Linked DNA regions of Canis lupus familiaris. The protein of the gene in region 6 interacts with the protein of the main gene of each other region in a biochemical or structural test. Links are inferred from orthologs where the notes say so. Each region holds a gene or a part of one and is shown on either strand. Other genes may lie near its edges.

Region 1 (4,514 bases), on a different chromosome or scaffold from region 6:
TCTGTGTATACAGTGAACTTTCCCACCTCCATGCCTGCACTTGCATCACTCCCTTTATTTGAAAAGTCTTCATCCACCTACTCCCGACCCCTAAATTCTTGTGTCAGAAAAGTCTCACCCTCTGCAATGTTAAACTCAGGCTACCAGTTTATTGAGAAGTAGCATGATGGAGTGGAAATGCACAGGCTTTGACACCAGGCAGACCTGGATTCAAACTGAGGCTCAGCTACCTAACATACTTAAGCATTGCCCTCATTATTTATTAAGATGCTTTTATGTCGTTGTGAAGCTTAGAAAATGTACGTAGTGTGACCAGCATGAAGCGTGATGCCAAGTGCTCAACAGCTTCAGAGTGCTCTTTTATCTCCACCACTTTCTACTTTTTAGCTGCTTACTCCAGTTAAAAATGAACCCATTTTCTTTTCATAGAACTCCAAACTTTAGGTCATCCCACTCACACAGTATTTACATACTTTTATGTAAATATCTTACATCTCAGGACTTCTAGATTTCAAATTCCTAAAGACCAAATGCTTCATCTTTGTATCCTATAATGCCTAACAGTACTTTTCATAAAACACACAACACCCACCTCTAATTAGAAAAAAAATTTTAATATGCCCAAGCAATACAATTCACCTCTTCATGATTTCTGACACACCTTAGAAAATTATTGCCAAAACATGAATTTTAATGGTTACGGCTGTATATTCATTCCTACGCGGTTGCCTAACAGAGCTTGATGCCTAACATAGCAAAAATTCAGTACTCATTGACTTCAATAATACAATAAAATTTACAATGCAAATATTCAACATCTATCGAATGGACCTGAACCTAATGAAATTTACAGAGCCTAAGGGCACCTGAAATTCCCCAACTGCCTTTTTCTGCTCTTACAATTCTTTAAATATTTCTCCTTCAAAACACCTATCATACTATCAAAAAACCTATCATACTATCCTACTTGCACTATGGATCCATGATCATATCTAACTTGACTCCTTTTGCAGGTTTTCTCAATTCCAATATTCCAACCGTAAGCTCTAAACAATCAAGCATTGCAAATGGCTAAGAATCCACAATGTCTAAATCTAATTTAACTTTTCCCCCCACCAGGGACTGTAAAAATCAACCACCCTTTGACCACAATCAATAAAGGAATAAAAGAAACAAGAATTTCTAAAAAGTCAGCCACCCTTTGCCTGCTGAAAAATCAACAACACTGAAATAACTTTTCTTTTGCACAGGAAGAGAGCTCACTGAACTCACCACTTCAGTCTATTTTTCCCTAATGCAGGATATTACCTCCCCTTTCAGCAGTGGGAGGAGAGAGAATGAGATAAGTACCTAAAAAAACTACAGTATACATCTTAATATAAGCACAAGGTGAGAAGCACAGGAAAAGGGTCACTGGCTTCACAATAAACGGTTTGTGTGCACTTTACATTGCAAAAAATAAAAATAAAAAAAAATGCAATGGTCATCTGCAGCCGGTCACAACCCTCAGTGAATGCATTTGCATTCTCTTGCCATCATCATTGAAAAATCACTATTAAATGCAGAAAAGCCTCGTTGCATACAAACCTCCCCCCTGCCCCCCCCCACACACAGTCTAGTAGCTAAGAACTAAGTCCACTAAAAAACACTACCTACCTACTGCATCGTTTTCTCCTCTAGGAAATTCTCAATTTATCCGAGGTAAAGCTCAAAATGCAGCTTAACACACACACACACACACACACACACACACACCACCTCTATCCACCTGTGACAACCTCTGCATTGCAGCACAACTGGAACCTCTAAGGAGCCACTGAGAAAAAAAAAAGAAAGAAAGAAAACAGTCTTTGAAAGTTAAGGAAAATGACAGGTCCAAAAATACGAAGGTATAGGGCAGCCCGGTGGCTCAGCGGGTGAGCACCTGCCTGCGGCCCAGGGCGTGACCCCGGGGACCAGGGATCCAGCCCCACGTCGGGCTCCCTGCGTGGAGCCTGCTGCTCCCACTGCCTGGGTCTCTGCCTCTGTGTGTGTGTGTGTGTGTCTCATGAATAAATAAATAAAATCTTAAAAAAATAATAAAAAGACATATATGAAGATATACAAACTTCAGGGAAGAGGGGGCACAGTGATTCTCCAACCTCCGGCCGTCAATTCGTGCAATAACCGCAAGCTGAAGCCGTCATCCCACTGTGACTCCGGGGTGGCCACAACAATCAGGAGCGCCGATTAGAGAACAGCTTCCCTTTCCCCCCCCTTTTTTTTCCTTTTTTCTTTCCTTTTTTTTTTTTTTAAGTGTGGGAGAAAATAAGGGAAGTTAAGTACTGATATCCCTCCGGCAAGCTGTCTTCCTCAACGCCTTGCAGCGGCCGCCCGAGCAGGCTCTCCGGGGAGCGGGGAGCGGGGAGCGGGGCAGGCGCGCTGCGGGCCCCGCACACCCGGTGCCCCCGGGGCGCCGTCCCGAGGCGCTCCCCCGGCGCGTGTGGACGAGCAGCGCCGCGGAGGACCCCCGGCTGCCGCCCCCGAGGGCACCAACGTCGGGACCTGCAGCCCGAGGCCGAGCCCAGGGCCGGCGGCGGAGAGCGCGCCCGGGAGGCGGCGCCGAGACCCGGGGCGCCGAGGCCCGGCCCGGCCCCGCTCTCAGGTCCCGGGACCCCGCGCCCCGGCCCCGCCCCGCCCGCCCCCCGCACTCGCCCGGGGCGCCGGCGGCCGACGAGCCCCCTCCCCGGAGCCCGACAGCCCAGCCCCGCCGCGCCCCGCCGCCGTCCCGGGGCGCCCCCCCGGCCACTCACCGCCGGCCCGGGCGCTGGCAGGAGGCGGGAGCGGGTGGGCGGCCGCGGACCCCGGGCTCCAGCCCCTGCTCGGAGCCGACCGAGGCTCGGCAGCTGTGCCTGCAAGGCCTCTCTCCGGCCCGAGCCTGGGAGAAGCACTTCCGGGGAAGCGGGGGAGGGACGAGTCTTGGCACCGGAACTGCTCCCGCGCTGAGCTGCCAGCGCCTCCCGGGCGGGGCGGGGGCGGGGCCTGCGGGGGCGGGGCCTGCGGGGGGCGGGGCGGGGCTTGCGGGCGGGGGCGGGGGCGGGGCCGAGCGCGCTAAGCCCGCCCCCAGGCTGGTCGCTCACCCTTTCCGACGCCGAGGCCCCTCGGAAGCCCCGGGAGGCGCCTGCGCCCCTCACTGCGCTTCGCACTTGGTCCGCTGCAGCCGCCTATTTTCACGCGCCACGAGGCCGAGGATGGGAGCATTTGGGTGCGGGGGTCGGGCGTGCACACTTACACAGCCGGCCTCCAGACTCCTTTCCTTTTTTTTTTTTTTTAAGATTTTATTTATTTATTCATGAGAGACACGCAGAGGGAGAGACGCAGAGACACAGGCAGAGGGAGAAGCAGGCTCCATGCAGGGAGCCCGACGCGGGACTCGATCCTGAAACCCCGGGGTCACGCCCTGAGCCAAGGGCAGAGGCTCAACCGCTGAGCCACCAGGTGTCCCTCTCCAGTCCTTTCCAAATGATGATAGTTAACTCCCTGCTAGATGCTTACTACGTGTCATGCGCTGCAGGTGCCTAACCCCGTGCATCGTCCCCGAACCCTGGGAGGTGCTGGTTATCATCTGTACCTTGCATTATCTGTACCTTCCTCCTCCGATCAAAGATACCAAACCCAATACCACAAACAGTGGCTCTCGATTTTACCTTGTGTTGTGCGTATTGAATCTTTACATCTACTCCTTTTTTTTTTTTTTTTTAAGATTTTATTGATTTAGTCATGAGAGACACAGAGAGGCAGAGACAGAGGCAGAGGGAGCAAGCTCCCTGCAGGGAGCCCAATGTGGGACTCGATCCCAGGTCTCCAGGATCACGCCCTGAGCCAAAGGCAGACGCTCAACCACTGAGCCACCCAGGCGTCCCTTTACATCTACTCCTAACAAGAGTTTGAAGCGCTTTGCTTAAGGGCAGAGGGCAGGTTATGTTCCTATATTTCAGCATCACTTGGAATTTGAACAGAAGCCAAGAGCCGGGAGACTCTGGAATCTTCTTGCCTGCATCCTGCTATGGACTTTTCACTTTTTCACCTGGAGCAAGTTGCTTGACTTCTTGAAGCCCGGGTTTCCTCATTTGCGTGTGGGTGTGCATATATATGCATAGGTGTGTAATCACCTCTAGATTGTCGTAAGAATTCAAGATGACAATGATAAACGCTTGAGCGTACCCCGTACCAAGTAGGACTGGATAGAAGTCAACCTACGTCACCATCAGTGGGAACAATTTCTCCTCCTGTGGATCACTCTGGGGGCGGGTGGGCGCAGTTTGGAAAACTGTGGGTTAGCAATAGGCTCTAGAAAAGGTTAAGGAAATAAAGAGTAGAGGGTTTTGCAATAGGAAAAATGAAGGTAGGTAAGCCAGAGAATGTCCTGGGGCCAGCCTGGATACTTGTGACACTTGTGAACTGGGACAGTAGGAGGACCCACAGGGTCAGATGCCAAGCCAGGAAAGAAGGGAAGGGGGGGGTGGGAGAAACTC
Region 2 (3,144 bases), on a different chromosome or scaffold from region 6:
GCCCATGGGCCTGGCCCCCCCCTGTCCTCCAGTGGGGCTGCCTTCCCACACCTTCCCCCAGCTAGACAGAAGCGGCTGGCTGCACAGCAGCTGTCCCCACACCTCCCCACAAAGCAGGCAATTCCTTAACCATCTTTCATTCCTAAGGGAAAGCATACAGAAAACCACCTGTCAGAATAGGCTTTACTCTTTCTTCTCTTCCTGCCCCTACCCCATCCCTGACAGCCTTACCGTCCGCAGTCCCAGTGGCCCCACAGCACAGGACAGGTGTGTCCACAGGACAGGTCATAGCCTCCCCCTCTCCCGCCCTCCCCTCCCCTGGGCTCTGCCTCAAGACTTCCCTCCCACGGTGAAGAGCAGGAGGAAGTAACTTAGTTACGTATGATACTACTGAGAAGGAAAATAGTACTGCCATCATTTAAAGTCCTTTTCAGAAGTAAAGCTTTTCCCATAAAGTTTAAGATTTTTGTTAATATTTAAATTATAAACCAAACACTGGCAACCATATAGAGATGTGTTTGCTATGGACAAGACTGGGAGGTCATAATTGCAAAGACAACCTTGGAATTAGGTTTAAATAAACCAATACATTTTCTCAGAAATTGTATAATTTCCTTCGGTTTACAATCCATGATATGGAAAGTTTAATAGAACGTTAAATAATTTACCTTCTACCCTAAAAGTAAGCTATAGAAAACGGAATCACTATTAGGATCGAATAATAACAAGGCTTTAACGGCTCAGTGGTTTTTCTTAAGAGTATATAAATATATAAATCTTGAAAAGTAACACTGTTAGTTGAGCTGTAAAATCCATAAAAATAACAGTTCTGCCACAGTGCACAGACAAGTTCATTCATTTTTGCTCCCCACCCCAACCAAGCAGCTTTCCGGTTAGAAGTGGAAGACCTAGAAAATCATACACCTACATGAAATAATGAAGATAGTGAGAAATGGGGTGTGCAAAAAATAACCTTTAAAATTCCATCTCCAACATCACAGATGCCCAGTAACAGGACTTTCGACTGGTTTAACGAACACTCAGGATCATCTCCGCATCCTCCTGCAGTGCTGTCTGCAGACTTCGATCCCAGGTCTTCTGCTGCAATAGGGAGAGTGGTCTTCAGTCTGAACTGGGACGGGGGGCGGGGGTGGGGGTCCCCAGCCGGCCTGCTGGAGGGCGCCTGGAAGGAGGCATGTCTGTGTGTGCAGGGGCTTCCTGAATGCACTGGGGAACATCCCTGCTGTGGCCCGTGACCTGCTCCATCCCAGCCATCCTGGCCCCACCGGCACGGTCTCCGACAAAGGCCTCCAGGCTGTCGATGGCGCTCTTAGACCTTCTGCCTTCGGGTGGCTCCCTTGCTGTGTGGCAGGACTTGCCGTGCAGCTGGGCCAGCACATCCCCAAACTCTGGCATCCTGGTGAGCAGTTCTGGACTCCAGGTTCGCACCCAGAGCATCAACCTTGGGGCCAGCCCCTGGCTTCGGGCAGCAGGCAGGTGGTATAGCCCATGGCAGTACGGGGTGTCTAGGTCCTGCTCCTCCTCCTCCCATGGTCCTGAGGTGCTGCTGTCCCTCCTCCAGGCAGCTCCCTGGGGCTCGGCTCCTCAGGCCCCTCACCCAGTGGCCCGAGTGGCAGCCTGGGCTGCCCACTGCTGCTATTTCTAACATGATCCCCTGTATCTTGCAGGCTGGGCAGTCCCCGGCCACGGGCAGCGCGCCCTTGTGCTGTGTCGTCTTCCTCGAGCAGGCGGGGCCCCTCTGTAGGCAGATCCTGTGCTCCTCTGCCCCAGCTCGGGGGCCAAACTGCGGGGGGGGGGGGGGGGGTATGTGCCCCCACCCCTGCCCAGCTGGAGATTTAAAGCTACAGGACAATGTAAACTTGGGTTTGTTTCCCTGGCCCAGTGAGGCGGCTGCGGCTCCTCTCTTAGAAAGGTCAGCCATTCCTCAGAGCCTCCCGAGCTGCGGGCTGAGGCAGCCTCTCTCTTCAAGGGGCTGCAGCCATGGTCCCGGCCCCATGATGGAAGGCTCCATCTCCAGAAGTCAGGACCAGATATGTGTGCTTAATTAATTTGAGACACAGTACAGTTTTTGCCTTCACCCAGAGCTGCGGCAGGGAGGCCCCAAACAGTAATATATCTCATTCATGGCTTGGCTTTGTCTAGCAGTCACTGCTGGAATCCAGGTTCCAGGCCTCAGGGCCAGGAAGGCTGCCACGACAGGCCACTTCCCAAGAACCCAGCTCACGGCACTCCAGGAGGCACGCGGCACCTGCTGCTCTCAACGAGGCTGGCGCACAACTAGAGGCGGTTGTCTCCGTTGACCCGTGTCCTCCGTGGGGCCCTGGACAGAAGGAGGGAGTGTCCTCATCGGCAGTGGAGCCTCCAGTCCAGTGGGACAGCCCAAAGCCAGACAAGGGTAACTTCTACACAGAAGCAAGAGAAGGACCCAGAAGGGGCAGCAGGCGCTCCTTCCCATCACTCCAGTATGCCCCCCATCCTCTATCCCCTCACCTCCGTTCCCGACTGTCAAAATGGTCTGCCAGGTGCTCCTGGGAGATACGAAAGTCCTCAAATGGCTGCTGGTAGCGGGCCTCAAAGGAACCTTCACGGGCCCGGCCATGGAACAGCTGGCCTGAGGCATCAGAGCCTCGCTCCCGAAGAGACATCCCGAAGGGACTGAGGTCCCCATTCTCCTGCTTCAACAACAGCAGTGCACGAGGGGTCAGCACCTCCTGGGGCCTGGAGAGGCTCCCCGCCACCCACACCACCCTTACCTTGGCAGGGAACACGTCGATCTTGACGAGCAGGGAGGCCAGCTCTAGGTCCTCACTGTAGTTGTTCTTCAAAGGCACAGCTCTGTATCCTGGAAGGAGGAAAGCCTGGCCCTCAGCCCAGGAGGCAGCTGGGCAGGGGGAGCCCCCCACCTGCCCTGGCCCCCGGGCTAGAGCCCAGGCCCTGTCCCTAGGAAAGGCCTCACCTGTCTTCAGGCCTTTCACCGGGAATGTAGCCTGAGCCAGGAAGTTCTGGTCACTAAACATGTCTTCCTCATACACCACAAAGCGCAAAAAGGCGAATTCTGGGTTACTGATCTGGAAGTGGAAGGGCTTAGCAGGCCACACAGGGTTCAGTCCATTGTCCACTGTG
Region 3 (4,235 bases), on a different chromosome or scaffold from region 6:
ATGTAAAGCCATAGAAACTGGAAAGCCCAGTCATCTCTGAAGAGGTTAAGATAGGAGGGAGACAGTATATTCCCTTTTATACTGCTGGGGTGTTTTTTTTGTTTTGTTTTGTTTTTTCCTCTTTTCTGCTGGAGTGTTTCATCACATTTATTTATCTTTTCCTGAAACTGAGGATTCTCTCTAGCCCTCCCTGGGTCTTAAGAGGCTATAACTCCACCTCTGTGGGGCCTGAGCATTGCCTCCAAATTGAGGGGCATCAGCTTCTGGCCCCACACTGACCCTAAATGACCTTTCCAAAGCCCAGCCAGTCGAGGTCCCTAACCATCTTTAAAATCCTTCAGTGGCTCGGGCAGCCCGGGTGGCTCAGCGGTTTAGCACCGCCTTCAGCCCAGGGCATGATCCTGGAGACCGGGGAGTCCCACAACAGGCTCCCTGCCGTCACTGCCTCTCCCCCCACCCCCGTGTCTCTCATGAATAAATAAAATCTTAAAAAAAAAAAAAATCCTTCAGTGGCTCTCCACTGCCCAAACTCAAAAACAGCACAGAGAGCCCTGCAAGCTCACTCTAATCTCATCTCCCTTCCTTCTCCCCTCTACCCAACTCAGTTGTTTTAACCTCTGCTCCCCAAGGACAGTGGACTCTTTCCACCTCCAAGCCCTCACATGATGCTTCTTCTTTCCTACAATCTGTCCACAACACACAAACTCAGTACGCATCCTTTGTGACCCAAAGGTCCCCTCCCAGGAAAGGAATGCTCTCTATACAGCCTGGCAGATGTTCTGGAACTAGACTGCCAAGATTCAAATCCTGACTATTCCCTCATGTGCCCTTTATATGGCCTCAGTTTCCACCTTGCCAAATAGGAATAAGCCCCTAATCGACCACTGAAATGATTAAATAAGATAATTCATGGAATGAATTTATTACACAGTCTCTCACAAGGCAAATAAAAGACAACAGTTATTATCATTACTACATTCTCATAGTACTTGTGAGGTTTTTGTATCCACCTGTCCTGAGAGCTCCTAAAAAGTAAAGATTTGACTTCTTTGCTTCTATTTTGTATTCCAAGCTCTTTACCTGGCAAATAGAAGGCACATGAACACCTTTACTTAAGTCAGCTGATTGGCTTTTCTGGTTCTGAATTTCATCCAGATGGTAAGTAAGTGACTAAAAGGTACCCACCCAGCGAATTGCCTCCTGGATCCCACATGCCTTGGAATACACATAGTAGCCAGGCCACCTGGGGCAGGCAGAGGTGAAAAGAGATCATGGGGCTTTGAGGCTTTCAGAGACAGTCAAGCAGATTGGAAACCAGTGGGATATGAGATCTGCCAGTTCCTGCCTGCTGACTACTTATGGCGACTGGATGAGAACAGACACAAGAGATGGGCAATCTGAGATACTAAATATCCTAGATGTGCCATACACTCCAAGTAGGCCTTTGGGAAACACTCAGGAAAAGATTCTCTCAGCAAGTGGGTACCTGGAAGTAAACAGAGACGAGACATATGGGGAAAGAGCTGGAATGGGACCTACAAGACAATTGAGAAGAAGAATCGTCTTGGCATGGGGGATGGAAAGGTAAACATGACACAGCTCCTGGCCTCAAGAAGCTTCTCAAATCAGAAGATCTTTAAAGACAGAGGCAGAGCTTGGCAGATTAAAGAAGGGGGAAGAAAGAGGATCACACAAGCACATCCAAACATGTGAGGAGGCAGTCAAGCAGCTCCAAAGGGCTAGGAAAGAGGGAAAGGAAAATCGAAAAACTAAGCTATGAGTAAATAGAGGCAAGACCGTCCAGGGCCTTGTATGACTTGATAAGACATTTTGGGCTTCATTCATCCCATGGGAAAAGGAGAGCGAGGAGTTTTTAAGTAAACAAGTGACAGCATCAGATCCGTGTTTTTTTGCAGGAGTGGCCAGGCAGGAAGATGTTCGCCCATCTTCCACCCTCAGCTCTCTCTTCGCCCACCATCTTCTGGTTCTAGGCTGCCTTAAACAGCAAGCAGGTGGCAAATGAAGACATCTCCTGGGAGATGCGACTGGTTCTAGAGCACAAATCCCTACCCTGGGTACAGGTTTCTGAAGGCATTTTACCCGCCGAGGGAGGTTTTGAACATTCCTCTTTTCCAATCTTACAAACATCATCACTGATCTCGGGGGGGGGGGGGGGGGGTACCTCAGCTCTGCCATTATTATTTTCATCTTCAAGAAATACAATCAAGAACTAATTTAAAATTAAAACACACGTTATTCTTTATTTACCAAAAGTAAAAAAAAAAAAGAAGGGGAATCCGCATTCCCGACTGGCTCATTTTGAATTCTGGGCAGCTCTGACCCCCTATTTCCCTTCTTAAGCAGCCTCGACAGTTGGGAGTGGGCGGAAAAGAAAGGGGCCTGAGCCAGAGGCCAGGGGGGTTAAGGCAAAGAAAAGTTAGTCTCCGCAAGAGCAAATTTTCTCATGCCAGGAGTCTTCGCCTTTCTTCCCATTACATGGACCGGCGCAAATTCTGTCTTCACTGTTCCAAGTTTCTCCCTTCAGAATGAACTACGGCAGCACCCTGGCCTGGCCCCAGAAGGACGCACGCGAAGTTCTCGGGCCGTCGAGAGGGGTCGGCGCCCTGTCCCGCACGTTTCCGGGGACACCCCCCCCCCCCCCGCACCGACAGCGCAAGGACGCGGGGTCCCACTGGAGCTGCCTGACGGGTTCTGCCGGGAACAGAGGACCTGGGGCTCCGGCCGGCGAGCCCTCCCACACGCAGCCTGGAGCCGCCCCCCCTCGCGGAGCCCACCCGGGCGGCGGCGGCCGCGAGCACTCACCGAGTCCAGCGCTGGGCGGGACCGCTGGGAACGAGGACGGCGGCTCCGCCTCGACTCCGCGGCGGCGTCTCGGCCCGCCACACGCCCTCAGGGCCGCCGCCCGGCCCGCGGCTCGGAGCTCCGCGGCGGCGGCGGCGGCCTCGCCTCCATGGCGAGGGGAAGCGGCTGAGGGGCGACTGGGCGGGCGGCGGTGATGGCGGCCGCGGCCCGGGGTCCGAACTGGCTGGCGCGCGCGCGTCTCTGTCAGCGCCGCACTCGCCGCAGCCTCGCTCCCGACCCGGCCTTGGCTGTAAGGTGGGCCCTGATTGGCGGTTCAGAGACAGGCGCTGATTGGCCCACACCGAACGGGCGTCTCCCAGCCCTAGCGGGCCCCGCCCTGCGCGCCTCCGAGCGCTCGCTTGCAAGCACGCCTGGGGCGCTGAGCTGGGTCTCACGGTCTCGACCGCTTCTGCGCGGCGTGGGAGGTGTGCGTGCACCCCGCGGCCGCCCAGACCCCGGGAGCACTGGCAGCCCGTGCACCACGCCTTCCGCCTCTTTACAGTCCCAGCCCCTTGGACGTGGGCCTTCCAGTTTACAGATGAGGAAACTGAGGCCAAATACGAATTGTGCCAATGTCTAGAAACCAAGACGGACTGCGACTCAAAAACTATCTTTCCATCCCTCTCTCCAAATGTATTCCATTCCTACTCCCCCGCCCCTCCCCATTGCTGCAAGGTATTCAAAGGACGTAGGCTTTCTCGGCGAGAAGAACCCGCGAAGTGCCTGGAATGGACCTGGCGCCATAGATGTCGTCTTACATCAAGTCAGCTCACACCATCCCCACCCAAGCCCCAGGGAAATCACTCCCGCCTTCTAGTTGCGCGTACCGGGGCCTGCTTTGCCACCGAGCCGACTAGAAATGTGACACATGGTGTTCTGCCGTTGGGGGCGGGGGGGAGGTTCAAAGGGAGAGAGGATCCGGAGATGCGTCCCGCTGTTGCGGTCGGGGTCGGGATTGCGCGCGCGGACCCCTTCCCAGGGGTCCCTACCGCACGCGTGGTGCCCCAAAGCTATGCATACGTCTTGTCCCGCAGCTGTGGTTCCCAGGCTACGGGACTTGGGCATACGCGGCTGAAGGCCAGGGGACATGGTCGAGGTGGGTGGCGGGTGACACATTCCGCTGATTGTGGCCCCCATACAAGGGCCCTCAGACGCTCCAGGCCCCGCTCCACGGCGAGTGGTTGGGCATCTGCAGGCTGGAGACAGATTGCACAGCAGTGTGCAAGCAGAGCTTGCTGGGTGACCCTCAATTCCGGACCCCAAGTCCGCGCCGCCTGCGTTGGGTGGAGGAGCGCCCCAGGGGAAGAATCTGTGGCCAGCGGCAACTCTTCTGACAAGGGGTACCTGGGGGTACATTTTGGTGCAGAAGGAGC
Region 4 (4,329 bases), about 47 Mb from region 6:
TTTGAAATGTATTCTGGGCTTGACCTTCCTAATCACAAATGTCTGGCTCTGGTTAAAAGTCTGTATTCCCAGGAGCCCCTGCCACTACAGGGCAACAGACAGGACGGAGAAGTCAGGAGCAGCCTGAGCTGTTTGTACCAAATGCACATAAAGATGTGTTTCCCATTCACTTGGCCCAAAAGCAGACCCTGACACCCTGTTGTTCTGCTTTGGAGCATGGAGTCATCAGTCATCCACTGAGATGTTGAGTGTAGACTATGGAAAATATACTCAGATCAGGGTCAGAGGGGTGTCTGGGATTCACAAAATCTGGTTCCTAAATATTGCTCTAAAATCCCATTTCTAAAACATCAACAACCCTTAAAGACGCAGCCAAACAGATAAACTGTGAAGGACTGCTCCACACCCTTGCTACTGCAGATCCTTAGCAGGGGTTCCCTGGATTCGGGGTCAGGGAAACAAACCCCTATCCCAGGGTCTAAACTGCATAAACAAATCTCAACACTGGCCAAAATGTACTCCTGGTCAACGGGACCCATGCAGACTCAGAAATCAGGGCAGGGAGCTGCTCTTTCTTTTACCCCAACTCACAGTGAACCTTGCAATGCCTGCTATTACTCACCACACTCCCACAGCTCCTCTTATTGAAACTACTGAACACAAACTGTAAAATAAAACACAGAGGCTGGCTTTAATTTTGCCTGTAAACCAGGCTGCTTCCAATGGTTAATTTCAAGAACTTTTATACATTTTTCTAAAAAACAAAACAAAACAAAAACACCAGAGATTATCTGAAAGTAAATATATTAAATTCCTGTTATAAAAGTAGTGCTTTTGAATTACTGGATTTTTATGATGATTTTCTTGTTAGTGGCTAGAGAGATCAACCCATGTAGCACTGAGTAAGTCCTGGATCCTGACCCACCTCAGTAAATAACCATGTCTGCTGAGATTCATTCTTCTGAAGGATACTGTACTGTGATGCAACCAGCAACCATTTTTGTAATGGTGTCCCCTCCTGGTTAGTAAAAATACATTAAAGAAAGTATAACAAGCCTCACAGAACCATTACCTGGATTCTTTTTTTTTTTAATATTTTATTTATTATTTATTTGAGTGAGAGAAAGAGAAAGCACACATGAGTGGGGTGAGGGGCAGACGGAGAAGCAAGCTCCCTGCTGAGCAGAGAGCCAGATGTGGGCTCTATCCTGGGACACTGGGATCATGACCTGAGCCAAAGGCAGATGCTTAAACTGACTGCGACACCCAGGTGCCCCAATTACCTGGATTCTGACACTTGTCAAATTTATACTATTTTGCTTCTCTGTATGTATATATGCACTCATTCACCTGAACCACTTTGGAATAAAATTATAGACAGTATAATGCTTCACCCCTAAATACTTTAGCATGACTATCCAAAAGGACATTCTCCTGCATGACTCATTACCATCATTATACAAAATAAAATCAGCAATAGTCCCCAGATATCATCTATTACCCAGTTCATATCAAACTTCCTGAATGGTCCCCCAAATGTCTTTCTCACTGTTTTGTTCAAACCAGGACCCAAAGACCACTAGTGATTACTTTTTTCATCGTAGCATGTCAGACAAAGGATGACTGACAGAGGGACAGGAACTTGACATGAAATAAGCAGCCTACCTACTTTTCCCTTTTAAAAAGAACAAGTTACCCATAACCTGACCACAGAGGACAACTATTGTTAGCATTTCCATAGATTTCTTCCAGGTTACATTTTCCACATAAACACATATCCATATATATATATACAGGTGCATTCAAACTGTCTTGCTGCTGGTCAAGTGCTAGCTCTGCTTTCTGTGGCAAGTGGAGGTAAAAGCCAAGACCTGAAGTCCCAAAGGCCTACGGCTGGGCTGCAGGGTTAATGACCGTGAAAAAAGCAGCTCAGTACACTGGAAAACTAAGTTGCCCTGGGACATGGCTAAATGGGTCCCCAGTTTCAGGTGTGCCATGGCAGTGCTTGTGGTCTCACTGGCTTCCTCCTCCTCAAGACTGACACTAACACAAACCCTTTAAGAGACATCGAGTATGGTCAGTCAATGCTGGCCAGTATCATGGGCATCTAGGACAGGTTAACCTAAGATTTCCAACAGAATGTACTTTGAATTCTTCGGAAGAAGAACGATATATATTTAAAGCTATTAATAACATTCTCTCACCAAACTGTTACAAAAGATTCAAGCTCCTGGCTATCAAGATTTTTATTTGGGATATTTCTTAAAGCTTAGAATTTTCGATTGGCAGATACATGCTGCAGTGAGCACAAACCTGGAGCTGCACTTCATTCTCAGCCAGGCTATGATAGCACACTGAGATACAGATCACTTTAATCATCAGGAGAGCTGTTAATTTTCTTTAAAATATGTTGACCTACAGAGCCTTTGTGGTGTGGAAGGTGTTTGCCAAGCAGTTCCAGCTTTGGTGCGGAGCCAAAATATCCTAATGCAAGGCTGCCTCCTTTCTCCTGGAGACAAAGCCCAGGGCCTGCTTACCTTGCTTCCAGGGGCACAGACGGCTTCGCTTCCGGGGCTTCTGTTTCTCAGCAGCATTGCCCATTCTAAAGCCAGAAGCTCACAGGGTCCTCCCAAGCCTAGAGGTCTTTGCTGAACAGGGAGTAAGGACCAAGGTGCCGGCTGAAAGGGACTTCATCTCTCCAACATCCCAATCACCTCGCAAGCCCTGGCAAACCCTTCCAAGAAAAATCTGAAATTCTGTTCAGAGCAGTCCTTGCCTCCTGCCTTTCAAACTCCCTTTGCTTCCAGGGAGGAAGCCAGAAGAAAAGACTTGTTATCGCCCCACGGGTGGGTCTCCGTCCCCCATCAGTCCATCTATATTAGGAAGCTCTTCCTTGGCCTTCCTTTGACACTCTATTACTCATCGGCACAGCAGCGGCCTCAGAGTGAACTGCACTTCCAAACACTTTCAATGCTGCCTTTCCTTGGGGGAGGAGTGGCAAACTGGGTGGCCAAAAAGCTGAAAGTTAAAAACGGACCAATTCGGGATGTGCCGTGAGAAACATTTTCCAAGCTTGAGATTTAGTGAGATATTCTTAAGAACAGGCTATTCTATTTATCTTTACATACCTCTAGAAAGTTTACATTTGAATCATTTGGGGATTCCTGGAGAAGCAGCTGAACCATAGGGTCCTCATTTCAAAGCTGTTCTCTCAAAGAAATTTCTAGTTTATTTGTAAGGTTCATCAATAAATCAGCTGTTTCTGTCTCGAAATGCATTTTCTGGGGATCCCTGGTTGGCTCAGCGGTTTAGCACCTGCCTTCGGCCCAGGGCATGATCCTGGAGTCCCGGGATCCTGGAGTCCCGGGATCAAGTCCCACATCAGGCTCCCTGCATGGAGCCTGCTTCTCCCTCTGCCGGTGTCTCTGCCTTTCTCTGTGTCTCTCATGAATAAACAAATAAAATCTTTAAATCTAAAATCTAAAAAAAAAAAAAATCAAAATGCATTTTCTTATGAAAGCACTGTATAAATGTACTTGTGACCCATCTTCAGTCCACACATTAGGGAGGCAACATGGGACTCTAACAGTCGAGATGAATCAACAATGAAATGGTACCAGTAGAACACTCACTGCACTGCTGATATGATGTGGTTCCATTTTTTGCACTAATGCCTCAAGGATGACATGGATGTATGAACTGCTTAGAATCACACCTACTTGGCCACATGTTATCAGTTACCCCTTGAGGTATCACTACCAAAAGCCCAAATCGCTCACAGAAGGGGAGGGTCCACCAAACTTCTCCTCTATTTTAGAGATGAAGCCAGGAGGGGATCAAGGCTACATAGCTGGTGAAACAGCTAGATCTAGCTCCATCTTTACTCTTGGCTAGAAAAGCCACTACCCATTTCCTCACGACTGGAGAAGGCAGGAGATCGGGAAAGGTGCTGGCCCTGGAGGGAAGCTGGCCTGATCCGAATCTGTGGGCACTTCCCAGGTGGGTAGCTCTGCAACAAGAACTTAACCTCCCTGGACCTGATCTTTTTCACTTATGTAAAATGTGTACAATCATGCTGCCTACTTCATAGGACAGTTTAAAGGTTAACCATGCTGTTTAAGGAAGTGCCTGGCAGGTGGCAGATACTCTTAATGAAGAGGGACTCTTGCTGTTTTTATTATTTTATTAACTGTAAACATCCAGCTTTAGATATGTTAAAGAGAAATTATTTACCCTCGAAGGGTTTTTTTCTCCCCATATCAGGGTGAGATCCGTCGCAAAATTCTGGTAAATTCCTCATTCCTTTAGTGCAAATAAAATTTCACTTAT
Region 5 (4,427 bases), on a different chromosome or scaffold from region 6:
CTAGAATCGTGGGGAAGAGAAACATTAATGCAAAATCACGCTCCAAAATGTACAATGACAATGGTCATGATGGGTATAAAGAGAAAGGTGTAAGGTATCATCTACGTATAATTAGCGAATTTGATTTAGGAAAGCCAGAAAAGCTTCCCTGAGGAAGTGACATGCAGGCTAAGACTTGCAGTATAATTTAGAGTTAAAACAGGCAAATCAGAGGAGAGAAGCTGTTTTCAGGCTAAATGAGGTGTTCAAAGTGGTATAAGGAGCATACATGAGGGCTGGAGTGAGAATGTGTGAGCAAGCTGTGAGATGAGACTGGCAAGGAAGCCAGAGAGCAGCCCTGCAGTGCCTTTGTATAGGAGCACTGCTATCCCCTTTCACAGATTAAAAAAAAACTGAGGCTCAGAACTCTTGAGTAATTTACCTAGAGTCTTACAGCTAGTTAGGTGGTAGCGCCTGAATTCAAAGTGTGGTAGAGAGAAGAATAGATCCCCTAAAGATGTCGATGCCTAATCTCTGGAACCTGTGAATGTGTTAGGTTACATGACAAAGGAGAATTAAGGTAGATGATGGAATTAAGGTTTCTAATAAACTGACATTAAAATAGGGTGATTATTTTATATTATCTTGGCAGACCAGGGTAATCTCAAGGGTCCTTATATTTGGAAGAGGAGGGGATCCCTGGATGGCTCAGCAGATTAGCACCTGCCTTTGGCCCAGGGCATGATCCTGGAGTCCCGGGATCGAGTCCCACATCAGGCTCCCTGCATGGAGCCTGCTTCTCCCTCTGCCTGTGTCTCTCTCTGTATTTCTCATGAATAAATAAATAAAATCTTTAAACATTTTTTGGAAGAGGAGGACAGAAGAGCTTACAGTGGTACAAAGTGAGAGAACTCGACCAGATCTTGTTGGCTTTGAAGATGGAGGAAGGGAACCATGAGCCAAGGAATACAGGTAGTCCTAGAAGCAAAAAGGGCAAGGAAGCAGATTCTACCCTAGAGATCCTCCAGAAAGGATCACAAACCTGCTGAAACCTGGATTTTAGCCTGGTGAGGCCTATTTTGGACTTCTGAACTACAGAATTGTGAGATAATACATTTGTGAGCCACTGACTTTGTGATAATTTGTCAGCAGCAAGAGGAAACTAGTGCACAAACTATACCCATTGGCTCCAGAGCCCGTGTTCCCACCCTAATAGCAACACGCCTTAACTGTTCAATGGGCTAAATCAGGAACTATAAAGATTAAAGTCTAAAGCTTCCTATCATTTTGAGTCTAAGATTCTTCAAATATCATTTCCCAACCATACAGCCAAGGTTATGTATAGTTTTTACATACGCTTCTTAGTTTTGTGAATTTTGAAAGGATGTGGTTATAGCCTTTGACATCAGAGGAGAAGCTCCACGTTGTTGACTGAACACTGATCAAAAGATAGCTTCGGAGGCAAGAGGCCTTTTAACAACTCTTTGAAGATCAACTGCCTCCCCTGTGCAGTCCTCACCCCAAAGCTGTTTCCACAGGTGGTGCCACGGGGTGATGCCCAAAGTGCATCACTTCCCAAGAATTGGATCATGAACAACTTTATCCTCCTGGAAGAACAACTCATCAAGAAATCACAACAAAAGAGAAGAACTTCTCCCTCAAACTTTAAAGTCCGTTTCTTTGTTTTAACCAAAACCAGCCTGGCATACTTTGAGAATCGTCACGGGGTATGTGAGCACTTTGTCTTGTCTTTTTTTAAGCAGTATTTTTTATTTAGATGGGGCTGAATCATGAAGATACACATGGAATAAAATAAAGCCAAAGGAGACACAGACGTGCTTGTTCTAACTGCCTCAAAAGTACAATAAGAATCATCAGAAGAGAATGTGGAGAAAAGTCCAGAGGTGGGGTGGTTGTATTCGGTGATTTTATTCTAAAACCTGCAAAAGAATATGTTTAATATTCGTTAGTGATTTTTTTCCTGCAAGTTCAAGTTTAAAATAATAATGTTTTATATGGCAAATGTTATGATTGGATAGAATTTTAGCTTCATCTGAAATATACTAGATTTTATGGAACATAGATTAATAAAATATTAGCATTTAATGGGATCTAAGAGATAATTTTTGCCCAGTTTCCTTAATTTATAGTGGGGGAAACTGATACTTGGAATGATTAAGTAATAATTCAATGTCAACATTTTTATGAATTTAATTCTATTTGTCCCACTGTCATTACTCACTTGATATCTTGGAATAATATTCCCTGGGCATTTAACTATGTTAAAATTGCAAGACCCAGTGGTAAACCTCTTTATCCCTTGGAAAACTTAGCCAGAGACAGGAGCTGTTGCAGTGCTCTGCAGTACAGATCAATAGTTCTTATCCAGAAGACTACAGCTGCTTAGCTAGGTCAGTCTTCTTATATATCTAGAGATACTCTTATATTCTATAAGATCAGTAATATTATGATTGTTCATGTTGCTCTTATTATCACTGATAATAATGCTGATAATAACCCTGGTTATTAGACCAAACTCTACTCTCTCTCGTGATTGAGCCTGGGAACATGTCTACTTTTTGCATCAGATTATTTCTTTCTATAATGAAAGGTCTGGAGGGACTACCTACAACATTCCTTTCGTCTTTAAAAATTCTTGTACCTGTTTAGGCCTTCTTAGCAAATTTTCAAAGCTTGTGTGTGACTTATTACTATATCATTATTTATTTTTCCCATTATTAAGGAAGTTAGGCAAGAGTTTTCACTTACATTTTACAGAAGGGGAAACAACATTATGTGCTTGGTGGTCACTTAGAGACAAAGACATCTCCATTCCTAGTTGGGATCTGACTTAGTAGGTATAGGCATGAGTTTGGGATCTTTCAAGAGCCAGGCTTTGAGGTGTTCAATAAAATGGAGCCCTGAAGGAGGTCAGACTGGTGATGGAACCTGTGGATGCTGCCAGTGAAATCATACTGCTGCTTCTTTAGAGGTTCAGACATGCTAATCTTCAGGATACTTGTACTGAAAATAATCAATAATCAATCTGAAGGCACATGGTATTACTTATGGACAAGGTCCCTTTGCTAGATACTCAGTAAGTATTTGTTAACTAAGTTAACAGACAGCCAGTAGCCAACTTGGAGGATTCATCATATATAGCTGATAAATCACATGGCATGGGTCAATTTTTTTCTTACTGTGATATTATAACTTGGTTTCTTCTTTCATATTGAGAGAAGAGTCATTTGATTTAAATATCTTTTTCAAAGCCCATTTTGTAGCTTTCACCACTTTGTTTTCCAGGCATCATGAGCTTTAGTTAGCAGTGATCATTTTTAAGCAGTGTTGCTGTTTATGGGCTGTTTGGTTGTGAATTTAGTACAATATTATTTACAAATAATCACACAACCAAAAGGTCTTGATTCAGATTTTTGTTGGTTATAATTTGCATATAGGCAATGTTGTAAAATCACTCTACTTATTCATTTAAGTATTCTTAAAAAACTCCAGGACACTTAATTCTGGGGTGCCAAAGCTAGAGTTCCTAACATTTCCATACAGGATATAGCAGATATATAGTGCACAAACATCACATTTTTTGTTTTCTAATGCCTGTGGTTCATATTCATATGCAACATTGATAAAAGCATTTCTTTAAATATTGTAAAAATCCATTGGTTACAAATTTATCCAAGGTCACTGAGAAAGGTAAGGTGTGTGAGTTGTTAGTATCCATGCCCTATATATGATCCGTTGTTTAGGGTCATTGATTTGCACACAAGTGTGCACTATGTATTACCTGTAAGTGACAATAGCTCTATGCTTATGGGAAGAAATGTTTCTTAAAAACTTAAAGCCTCAGCCTTATCATCTGTGAAGTGGATATGATAATAGTACTCGCTTCACGAGAATATGGTAAAGATTAACAGAGAGAATGTATTTAGACTAAACTATCTGAAATTACCACTCAGTAGATCAAAAAAGACCAGATATTAGCAATTTCGTATAGTTCAACTTAATATGTAATGTACTTAGTTAGCATAAGCCCTGCCACCTAAGAAGCACCTAGTAGAAATTAGTCATTATTTGTATCATCATCATGTCTCTAAAGGAGCAAGCAGGGGAACATAACATATTCATTTTCAAAGGAAGAAAAACATTGAAATGTTTCTCAAAGCCAGGCTAACGTCAGGGTCCTGGATTCTTTCTATTCAGTGATTAAATGCAAGTCTATGGAGATATATATGCATGATGTGTGATGCTGAACCAACTATTGCCCCTCTCGGGGTCACAGCTGCTTTTTCTCTTTGCTCATTTTTAAAAATTATGTTCCTTGTAGTTTTAAGATTCTGTGGATTTATGACATCATATGAAAAATAATCCAACCTACTCAGAAAAAAATTCTGTAATTTTGCAAATGAAGTGTGTTTTTCCTAACTTTAAAT
Region 6 (4,174 bases):
CTCTGTACATATAGAAAGTGTAATTTAAGTTGACTAATTTAAAGCCACATTCCAGCCTGACTATTTTACAGCTGCATTCTGTAACAACAGTTTTGGTCCTTGGACCAGCTGCATCAAAATAGTCTCATTCAGACACTGATTCACTGTGGGATGCCTTCTGGAGTTTTGCAATGTAGTGGCCTTAGCCCCAGAGCCTAATTTAAAATAAGATTCACAGGTAATTCTTTTTTTTTTTTTTTTAAGATTTTATTTATTTATTCATGAGAGAGAAAGAGGCAGAGACACAGGCAGAGAGAGAAGCAGGCTCGTAGCAGGGAGCCTGATGTGGGACTCGATCCCAGAACCCCGGGATCACGCCCTGAGCCAAAGGCAGATGCTCAACCTCCTGAGCCACCCAGGCATCCCAGATTCACAGGTAATTCTTAAGCATGCTAAATTTTAAGAATCACTGCTGTACTAGTAGAATGCCTTAACCAGATTTCAAACTTTGCATTCCAGATAATGCACTACAATGTCTTTGCATAAAATAAAAGTAATGCACATTCACTTGGCTCAACTAGGAAAAAGCCAACTTTAACAAATAAAACCAAGGGCTCTCAATAGCCTTTCAGTAGTGCTAGGAAAGTCTTTTGAACTAAGCAAGGAACTATTAATTTCTCTCAGGAGAGCATGGTACATCTCTATTCTGTATTAATTTCTCCAAAATCTATTATTATTTTGTTCTAGGCAACAATCAGAACTGCTGCTGCACAACAGGCAACATAACAGCAATTTCTCAAAAAAACTGCTAAGTACCATCAACTAGTAGTATTTAAAACCCAGCAATCCCTCAAATCTGAATACACTTGCTAAGGGAGTAAACTGCCTCAAGCACTTAAATGCTTGCTTTTAGTATCAAAGAAAGCCAATTACAAGAATTAACTTCGGTTTTTATTTTGGGAATTCAGAAAATTTTGGACAAAGGAAGGAGTAATGAAACAGTTATTTATATCGAAAAAACCCCAAGAACAGTAACAACGATGCCCCATTAGAAGAACCCTGGTAAAGAATCCAATTGCCACAATGGGCAAGTTGTTTTTTTTTTTAAATATTTTATTTTATTTATTCATGAGAGACACAGAGCGAGAGAGAGAGAGAGAGAGAGGCAGAGACACAGGCAGAGGAGAAGCAGGCTCCATGCAGGGAGCCCGATGTGGAACTCGATCCCAGGTCTACCAGGATCACGCCCTGGGCTGCAGGCAGCGCTAAACCGCTGCGCCACCGGGGCTGCCCAATGGGCAAGTTTTAATTCATCAGTGATCTAAAGAAATTCTATTCCCTTAAATATTTAATGTTATCTTAATTCTACTGTAACATAGGTCTAAGGTTGGTTTTCATTTTCTAACACACACCACTCCCACTAAAAGCCGAAAAAGAAGTCCTACAAACCCCAAATTGACCCAATCTTCCTTACTAGTATAAAAGAGACATAGGAAGAAAAGTGTAAGCAGGCACAAAAGCACAATGTTAAAATGAAGAGAACAACTAAAACACAAATAACACAAGCAAGCTACACTTGTGACCTAGTGGCAGTATTGATTACTTACGGATGAATTCAATCCTTTGAGCCTCCCAGTTCCCAGGGGGAGAACTTAAAGTCTCCCAAGGCTCTCTGGCAACTCTTCTGGCTGACTGAAGGAACACAGTGGACGCTTCAAAGTGAAGGATAAAGCAGGAAAAAGGGTATCTTCCCCGGAGAGAAAACGGAATCTTTAAATGAGGGAGAAGACAAACTGCACCAAAGGGCAGAAACCTTGAAAAATTATGCCAAAGAGGGGACAAAAAGGAGGAAGGGGAAGTAGATTAGAAGAAGGGGGGGAGGGATGAGCAAATGACTTGCATTACACAAGCAAACACTTAGTGTCCCCAGTGAAAATGGAGACAAGTAGGTAGAAAGGGAAGGCAACTACTGGAGAAGTATAAAGTGAGAGAGAGAGACAGGAAAGCCAAAGAGATATGCTATCTTCTTTCATGTGTCTTTTGGGCTCTTTTCTGAGTCAACAGTACCAAAAGACACAGGTCGAGTGCACTTCGGCTCCTCTGCAAATCGTACCTTTTGGAAGAACTCCCTAAACGAGCTGTTAACTCACGGGGCGTATATGGAGAGCGATGCAAATGAAAAATACCAGTGCCTTCCTTATCCTCTTGCACAGAAACCTTTCCTCGGAGCATTTCCAACCAACTGCTGCTTATTGTTCTTTACAAGTATTTTTCAGTGTAGTTTCAAAAAAACAAAAACAAAAAAACTAGACATCTCAGCTGGCTCCGGCAGCAAAAGTTCTAAATCACGGTATTCATAGGGTCGGTGGGCTCCCTCCCCAAATTCTGGCCCAAAGACACCGGGAGATGGTGACGTGGTGGCCGTGCAGGTCGCAAGAGCATCAATCACCACACTTGCAGCCGCGGCGAATCCCCCGCCTCCCGGGCCGGGCCGAGTCAGACTGACTCACAGAATGAGTACCCAGGGCTCCCGGGGTTCTCCCGGGCCCCTCTGCGCAAGCCGTCCCCCGAGAAAGCGTGAAACTTAAAGAGGCGCACCCGGCCTCCTGCCCCGAGCTAAGCTAAGGGAAGGACGGTCCCCAGGAAGGAAGCGCCCCAAAAAGGGAAATACGGAGCCCGGGGGACTCCGTTCTCCGCGCCAGGCCTCGTCGCCCCGACCCTGATCCCCAACCCTGGCAGCCCTCGGTAGACCGGGCCCGGTCCTCGCGGGCCACCTCCCGCTGCCGAGCAGGGGAGCAGCAGCACCGGAGCAGCAGCAGCGCCGCCGCCGCCGCCGCCGCCGCCGCCGCCCGTACTCACCGTGGCGCAGCAGCTCCGCTCCGCGCCCGGCCGACCCGTCTGCAGCGGTGCGAGCGGCCGCGGACCGCGCTGCTGCTCCCCGAGGGCAGCGCCTGCTCCCGCCGCCGTCGCCGCTTCAGTCTTCGTCGCAGCCGCCGCCGCCGCCGCCCGCTCGCTCGCTAGCAGCAGCAACACAGCCGCCTGGCTTCCGCTCCTCGTCGGGGTCCCGCGAGAACTTCCCCGCGCGGCCCCGCCCCGTCCCGCCTCGCCCCGCCCCCGCGAGACTTCCCCCGGCGGAAAAGGCCCAGAGCGCACGCGCTCCTCCTCGGCCGGGGCCCCGCAGGTAGCCGCCGTCTAGACGCCAGGGCGCCTGCGCCAGACCGCCCCGGAGCAGGTGGCACCCACGTGGCCCCGCCTCTGGGTCGCTGTAACCCTCTCTGTGCCAAGGAGGGTAGATGACAGCTGAGCCCTGAAGGAGCAACTCTTCATCACAGCCTAATCACTTCCCTTTTCCTGCCATCAAACCGAGGATTTTGCCGGGGGATGTCGGAATCTCCCTCTATCCTGAAGCGCTCCAAATAGAGGACCAGCTTTTGAAATGCTTGAGAATTCGGTCCAAACCGCACTGTTAGACGAATGAACATATTCTTCGCTCATGGGTCTAATCAAGTGCCTGATGTGTGCTAATCCTAGGCATAGGTATAGGTATACAGGTGTTGGGTAAAGAGGTACAATGATGAACAGGTATCTCGGCCCTCGAGGAAATCGAGGAAATCGCGGTCTACAGGAGCCGGAGAGGGAGGCTTGGCTGGCTCAGCGGTTGAGCATCTTTCTTTGGCTCAGGTCGTCATCCTTGAGTCCCTGAACCGAATCCCACATTGGGCTCCCTGCATGGAGCCTGCTTCTCTCTCTGCCTATGTTTCTGCCTCTGTGTGTGAATAATAATGAATAAATGAAATCTTATGAATAATAAATGAATAAATGAATAAATAAAATCTTAAAAAATGAATTGAATAAATCAAATCTTGAATAAATAAAATCTTAAAAATGAATTGAATAAATAAAATCTTGAATAAGTAAAATCTTTTAAAAAATTAGAGGAGCGGAAGAAAACAAAAAAATGCCATATGCAATGTTAGAATTATTTGGGAGAATGCTGAGGAAGCTAAAAAGATGGGAGGGAGAACTGCTACTCTGCCCATCTCAGAATAGCCTCCCAGAGAAGGTGATGATGATGTCTGAGCTGAGTCTTGGAGGACGAGTAGGAGTTCACTAGACGGAGCTGTCGGGGAAAGGCGCTTCGGGCGAAGGGAACCGCATGCCTGTACAAAGGAACGGAGGCGTGAGAGAGAGTCGT
Region 7 (3,730 bases), on a different chromosome or scaffold from region 6:
AATACTATGTAGCCTGTGGAAAGCTCCAGCAAACACTCATGAGAGAAAGAGAGTGGAAAAGGCAAAAAATATCTTATCATCTTAATGAAAATAGTTTTGACCTCACAGAACTCCAGAGAGGGGGGGCTTCCCAGGCCATACCCTGGGAGCCACTGTTCTGGTAGTTTCCATCATAGTGAACAACCAAGGTACATATTTTAAACAAAGACTTACTCTCGAGCAAAACTCCTAGTGATGGGAGATCTAACTGGGGCCTGTAGTTCTTCCCATTCTGGCAAAGGTTTTATTTCTAAAGGCGCTGGCTTGGCTGAAATGAAAGAGAGAAAAAGAGGCTTCAGTACACGGAAATTTGGAAAACAAAACAAGATCCTCACTCTCTCTCTCTCCTTATACAATACGGCCAGAGTACACCTAAGAGCAGCTGGCTTCACAAATGAGATGAGCTTCACAGATGTTCTGTGATTTGCCCAAGGTTACACAGCTAAATGATTAGGGACAAAAGCTAAATCCAATAATGCTTCATGATGGTTGACTCAAAGTCTGAAGCTTTATTACAACACATTACTTCTTAATATTTTATGAAAATAAACTAAATGAGAAGAAACGGTAATGTGACCCAATTCCTTTATAGTTACTTGATGTATTATTTCCTTATATCCTTCATTATTATTTCCTTATATCCTTTTTTAAAAAATAATTTTATCTCCAAGTATAGAGCTTTAGTCTTCTATGGAAAAACATTTCTACTCTTCAATATTGATGCATCAGTTATACAATTATATATATAAAATGATGTATAGAAAGTATTAAATACAAAACTTTGCCAAAATCAAAAACTGAAAAATAACTGACCAAATCTTTTAAATTATTTCAAATCCAGTCTGAAAACAAAGAAAGCAATAATAATATTTTAAGACTCAAACTCAGCTCTGAGAGAAGGCCATAATTAAAAATCACCTTGAACTTTTAGCTTAATATAACCAAAAATATCCTTTACCAAATCAAACAATAATAAACACTAATATTCTTTTTAGCTTGACTTATAAGTGGTCTCTGCTTATTTACCTCATTATTACCATAGACAATTATCATGCTAGTAAATACCACAGAGCTCTCAGCACTTAAAAAGTAAAACATTTCAGAAATTAATGGACAAAAGAACTAATACAAATGTGATATGTTAATATTAATTATATTTTAGGAGACTCTTTAAACATATTAGGAGAATATTCTAGTTACATTTCATCTCGCCACTCCAAAGAAAAATTTTTCATTTTTCTAGGTTTCTTTCTTCCACTCTTAGTCCATATATGGGCATACTTTTATTCAACTCATACTTTTAATCAACTATGTTGTAATTACTGTCAAACTATAAAATAGGTGGTCATTTTAAAGGACTATGTAGAGTCACTGGAGCTTATAAATATTTTTGTCTATTCAAAACAAAAAACTCAATGTGATTTTCTGAAGACTAGGTAAGTCTGAGTTTAAATCTTACTCACCCATATACTTAAAATGGACAGACACAGAATATTGTGCTGAGTAAATGTACTTCTTTAACTCTCATGTTTCACTTTTTCGAAACCCAAAGGCTAATGGCAGTTTAGCTGTCAAATTCTAAGTAATGGCATAAAATAATTAATCCACGGGAAGTGATTCTGTATTTTGTTTCAGAACAGAATACAGACCACATCATATATAAATAAGGGAGACATCTGGAACTCACAAGTAGTTCATAAGCTTAAATACAACAATGTATTGATATCTAAAAGTTTAAGAGAATAATGCAAAAGGACAAGACTAAATATTATGTATTATCAAATTTAACATGCTGCTGTTAATGGCATAACAAGTAGACTTACTGTGTCTATGGAAAGACACAATGGGAAGACACACATTATAGGAAGCATTCACTTTAGAAATAACATGCTAGGAAGCTTTATTTACAACAGCAGTAGTACTTAAGGCTCTTCTTAAGAAAAAAACATCACAAAATAAATTCCCAATGCCCCATCCAGCATGCGGTGCTAAAGTACATACCCTTTCTTCTTGTAGCAAAGTCACCTATGGTTTGTGAATCAGTTCGCTCTAAACCATGGGGTTTGGGTCTTAAAATTTTAGGACTTTGACCTAATTGGTAAAAAGAAGACTCTCTTAATATAATGTTATTTTTTAATGGGAAAAATGGATTCTGTAAAAAAAGCATACAGAGCCCTGAGCAGAAATGTTACAATCTCAAAAGCATAAACAAAAGTTTGTGGAAAATATTTCAATCTTGTTCAGTATATCGTTCATGCTCGGTACAATGGAAAGAAGAACTTACATGCAACAGTGTGACAAGCAAAGTATTTAAGAGATGGTAGGGTTTTAGTGGGATAACCACACTGGTTAGTGGTTATCTTTATTTGGGGAAAGGGAGGAAAGACATGTGCCATGTTAGTTATTCCTCTAACATGCCTTAGAAAACTGGATCAAATAAAAAATGATAAAATACCTCAAAGTACATCTTTTCTTCAAAGTCTGACGTCTGATAAGAAAGTATCAAAGCCTATATCCCTATAATATTACTTTCTTAATTTAATGTAGGTATTTAAAAACCCTTAACCTAACTTACTCCTTCACCTCCTGACCAAGGGCCCTTCTAGAGGAGCAGGTTAACGCTACACTGTTTGGTAATCCAAGACCAAAACCGAGACCAATGTTTGTTTCCCTTGGATACCGACTGGTAGGTCCCAGGCAACATCATTTTGTAATTATTAGAGGTCTTAATTCTGGAAGTGACTGTCTAGCTTCGATGTTAAGTGTCTGAAAACATAGATTCAGTCGCCCTCGTTTTCTTTTCATGTACTCTCCCACACAGAGGTACTGCTGGAAAGCCTCATGAAAAGGATAGGGTTAACATCCTGCAGTGGCCTCACTTTTTCCCATAGGAAGCCTGGAGGCCGGAGTAGAAATATCATTTAAATTAGTAACTTAAGCTGCTCTCTTCTCAGTGGCACCAAATTTTCTTCTTTTTTTGGCATTTACAAAACTGAGTCAACATCTATTAGCAGAATTAGAATTTGCTGATTGAGTGTCAATATCTAGTACCTTCTCTACTGCAGGTTAAGTTTCTTAAAGTATGAATCTCTAGGTTATAAAACGTGACAATTCTCTAATGAACCAATTTTCTAAGTTAGGGAATTAATACATTGAGTTCATTCAGAAATGAGGCAGGTATAGTTTAAAATGTGAGTGAGAAAATTTAGGGCTGTGCTCCTACCCCTAATGCTGAATACCTATCCAGGGCCCACGCTGGCAGGGAACTTTCCTAAAAACAACGGAGGATGTCAGTTTTTTATAAACTCCCCGAAACAATGTACTTTCCTTCAAAAAAAGTAAGAGGCGGAGGGTAAGGGTTGCTACAAAAAAATATACTTATTTTTACAGCTAAAAGCCTTTTTTTTTACAGATCAAATCTAACTTCTTCATTTTATGGATGCGATAACCCTGACGAATGAAAGAGGTTAAGTGACTTGCTTGGGTCATGACATTAATTACGGAGGCCAAACGAAGGCTTCCCCATAGCTGCCTGCTGGCGTATGCTCCTGTGCTGTCCGGCTGTTGTACTTCTCTATCCCCTTGGGCAATGGAAAATCCTAGGAAACCGGTGCTTAGAGGTCAATTTTGAATTGCTCAGTTCAGTTCGAGATCTTACATCTACTTGAATGACAGAGTTTATCCGTGAGCG

The links.
Region 1: the proteins of GRB2 (region 6) and FRS2 form a complex in vitro, tested with the Homo sapiens proteins (2 studies listed by BioGRID, with this or other methods). The link is inferred for Canis lupus familiaris from reciprocal best matches to the Homo sapiens genes GRB2 and FRS2.
Region 2: the proteins of GRB2 (region 6) and PLCG1 form a complex in vitro, tested with the Homo sapiens proteins (2 studies listed by BioGRID). The link is inferred for Canis lupus familiaris from reciprocal best matches to the Homo sapiens genes GRB2 and PLCG1.
Region 3: the proteins of GRB2 (region 6) and PTPRA form a complex in vitro, tested with the Homo sapiens proteins (3 studies listed by BioGRID and IntAct). The link is inferred for Canis lupus familiaris from reciprocal best matches to the Homo sapiens genes GRB2 and PTPRA.
Region 4: the proteins of GRB2 (region 6) and RAPGEF1 form a complex in vitro, tested with the Homo sapiens proteins (2 studies listed by BioGRID and IntAct, with this or other methods). The link is inferred for Canis lupus familiaris from reciprocal best matches to the Homo sapiens genes GRB2 and RAPGEF1.
Region 5: the proteins of GRB2 (region 6) and ITK form a complex in vitro, tested with the Homo sapiens proteins (2 studies listed by BioGRID). The link is inferred for Canis lupus familiaris from reciprocal best matches to the Homo sapiens genes GRB2 and ITK.
Region 7: the proteins of GRB2 (region 6) and GAB1 form a complex in vitro, tested with the Homo sapiens proteins (5 studies listed by BioGRID and IntAct, with this or other methods). The link is inferred for Canis lupus familiaris from reciprocal best matches to the Homo sapiens genes GRB2 and GAB1.

Annotation. Positions count from the first base shown.
Region 1 is NC_049231.1:11,804,479-11,808,992, reverse strand, and holds the start of FRS2 (fibroblast growth factor receptor substrate 2), read right to left. Parts: upstream 2,942-4,514; 5' UTR 2,793-2,941; intron 1-2,792. UniProt on the Homo sapiens protein: Adapter protein that links activated FGR and NGF receptors to downstream signaling pathways.
Region 2 is NC_049245.1:29,785,907-29,789,050, reverse strand, and holds the end of PLCG1 (1-phosphatidylinositol 4,5-bisphosphate phosphodiesterase gamma-1), read right to left. Parts: intron 3,140-3,144; coding exon 2,978-3,139; intron 2,864-2,977; coding exon 2,775-2,863; intron 2,697-2,774; coding exon 2,512-2,696; intron 2,342-2,511; coding exon 2,299-2,341; 3' UTR 568-2,298; downstream 1-567. UniProt on the Homo sapiens protein: Mediates the production of the second messenger molecules diacylglycerol (DAG) and inositol 1,4,5-trisphosphate (IP3). Plays an important role in the regulation of intracellular signaling cascades.
Region 3 is NC_049245.1:18,845,111-18,849,345, forward strand, and holds the start of PTPRA (receptor-type tyrosine-protein phosphatase alpha), read right to left. Parts: upstream 2,954-4,235; 5' UTR 2,824-2,953; intron 1-2,823. UniProt on the Homo sapiens protein: Tyrosine protein phosphatase which is involved in integrin-mediated focal adhesion formation.
Region 4 is NC_049230.1:52,543,233-52,547,561, reverse strand, and holds the start of RAPGEF1 (rap guanine nucleotide exchange factor 1), read right to left. Parts: upstream 2,957-4,329; 5' UTR 2,602-2,956; coding exon 2,538-2,601; intron 1-2,537. UniProt on the Homo sapiens protein: Guanine nucleotide-releasing protein that binds to SH3 domain of CRK and GRB2/ASH. Transduces signals from CRK to activate RAS. Involved in cell branching and adhesion mediated by BCAR1-CRK-RAPGEF1 signaling and activation of RAP1.
Region 5 is NC_049225.1:53,850,105-53,854,531, reverse strand, and holds the start of ITK (tyrosine-protein kinase ITK/TSK), read left to right. Parts: upstream 1-1,568; coding exon 1,569-1,706; intron 1,707-4,427. UniProt on the Homo sapiens protein: Tyrosine kinase that plays an essential role in regulation of the adaptive immune response. Regulates the development, function and differentiation of conventional T-cells and nonconventional NKT-cells.
Region 6 is NC_049230.1:5,987,406-5,991,579, reverse strand, and holds the start of GRB2 (growth factor receptor-bound protein 2), read right to left. Parts: upstream 2,991-4,174; 5' UTR 2,839-2,990; intron 1-2,838. UniProt on the Homo sapiens protein: Non-enzymatic adapter protein that plays a pivotal role in precisely regulated signaling cascades from cell surface receptors to cellular responses, including signaling transduction and gene expression.
Region 7 is NC_049240.1:731,109-734,838, forward strand, and holds part of GAB1 (GRB2-associated-binding protein 1), read right to left. Parts: intron 2,131-3,730; coding exon 2,041-2,130; intron 308-2,040; coding exon 214-307; intron 1-213. UniProt on the Homo sapiens protein: Adapter protein that plays a role in intracellular signaling cascades triggered by activated receptor-type kinases. Plays a role in FGFR1 signaling. Probably involved in signaling by the epidermal growth factor receptor (EGFR) and the insulin receptor (INSR).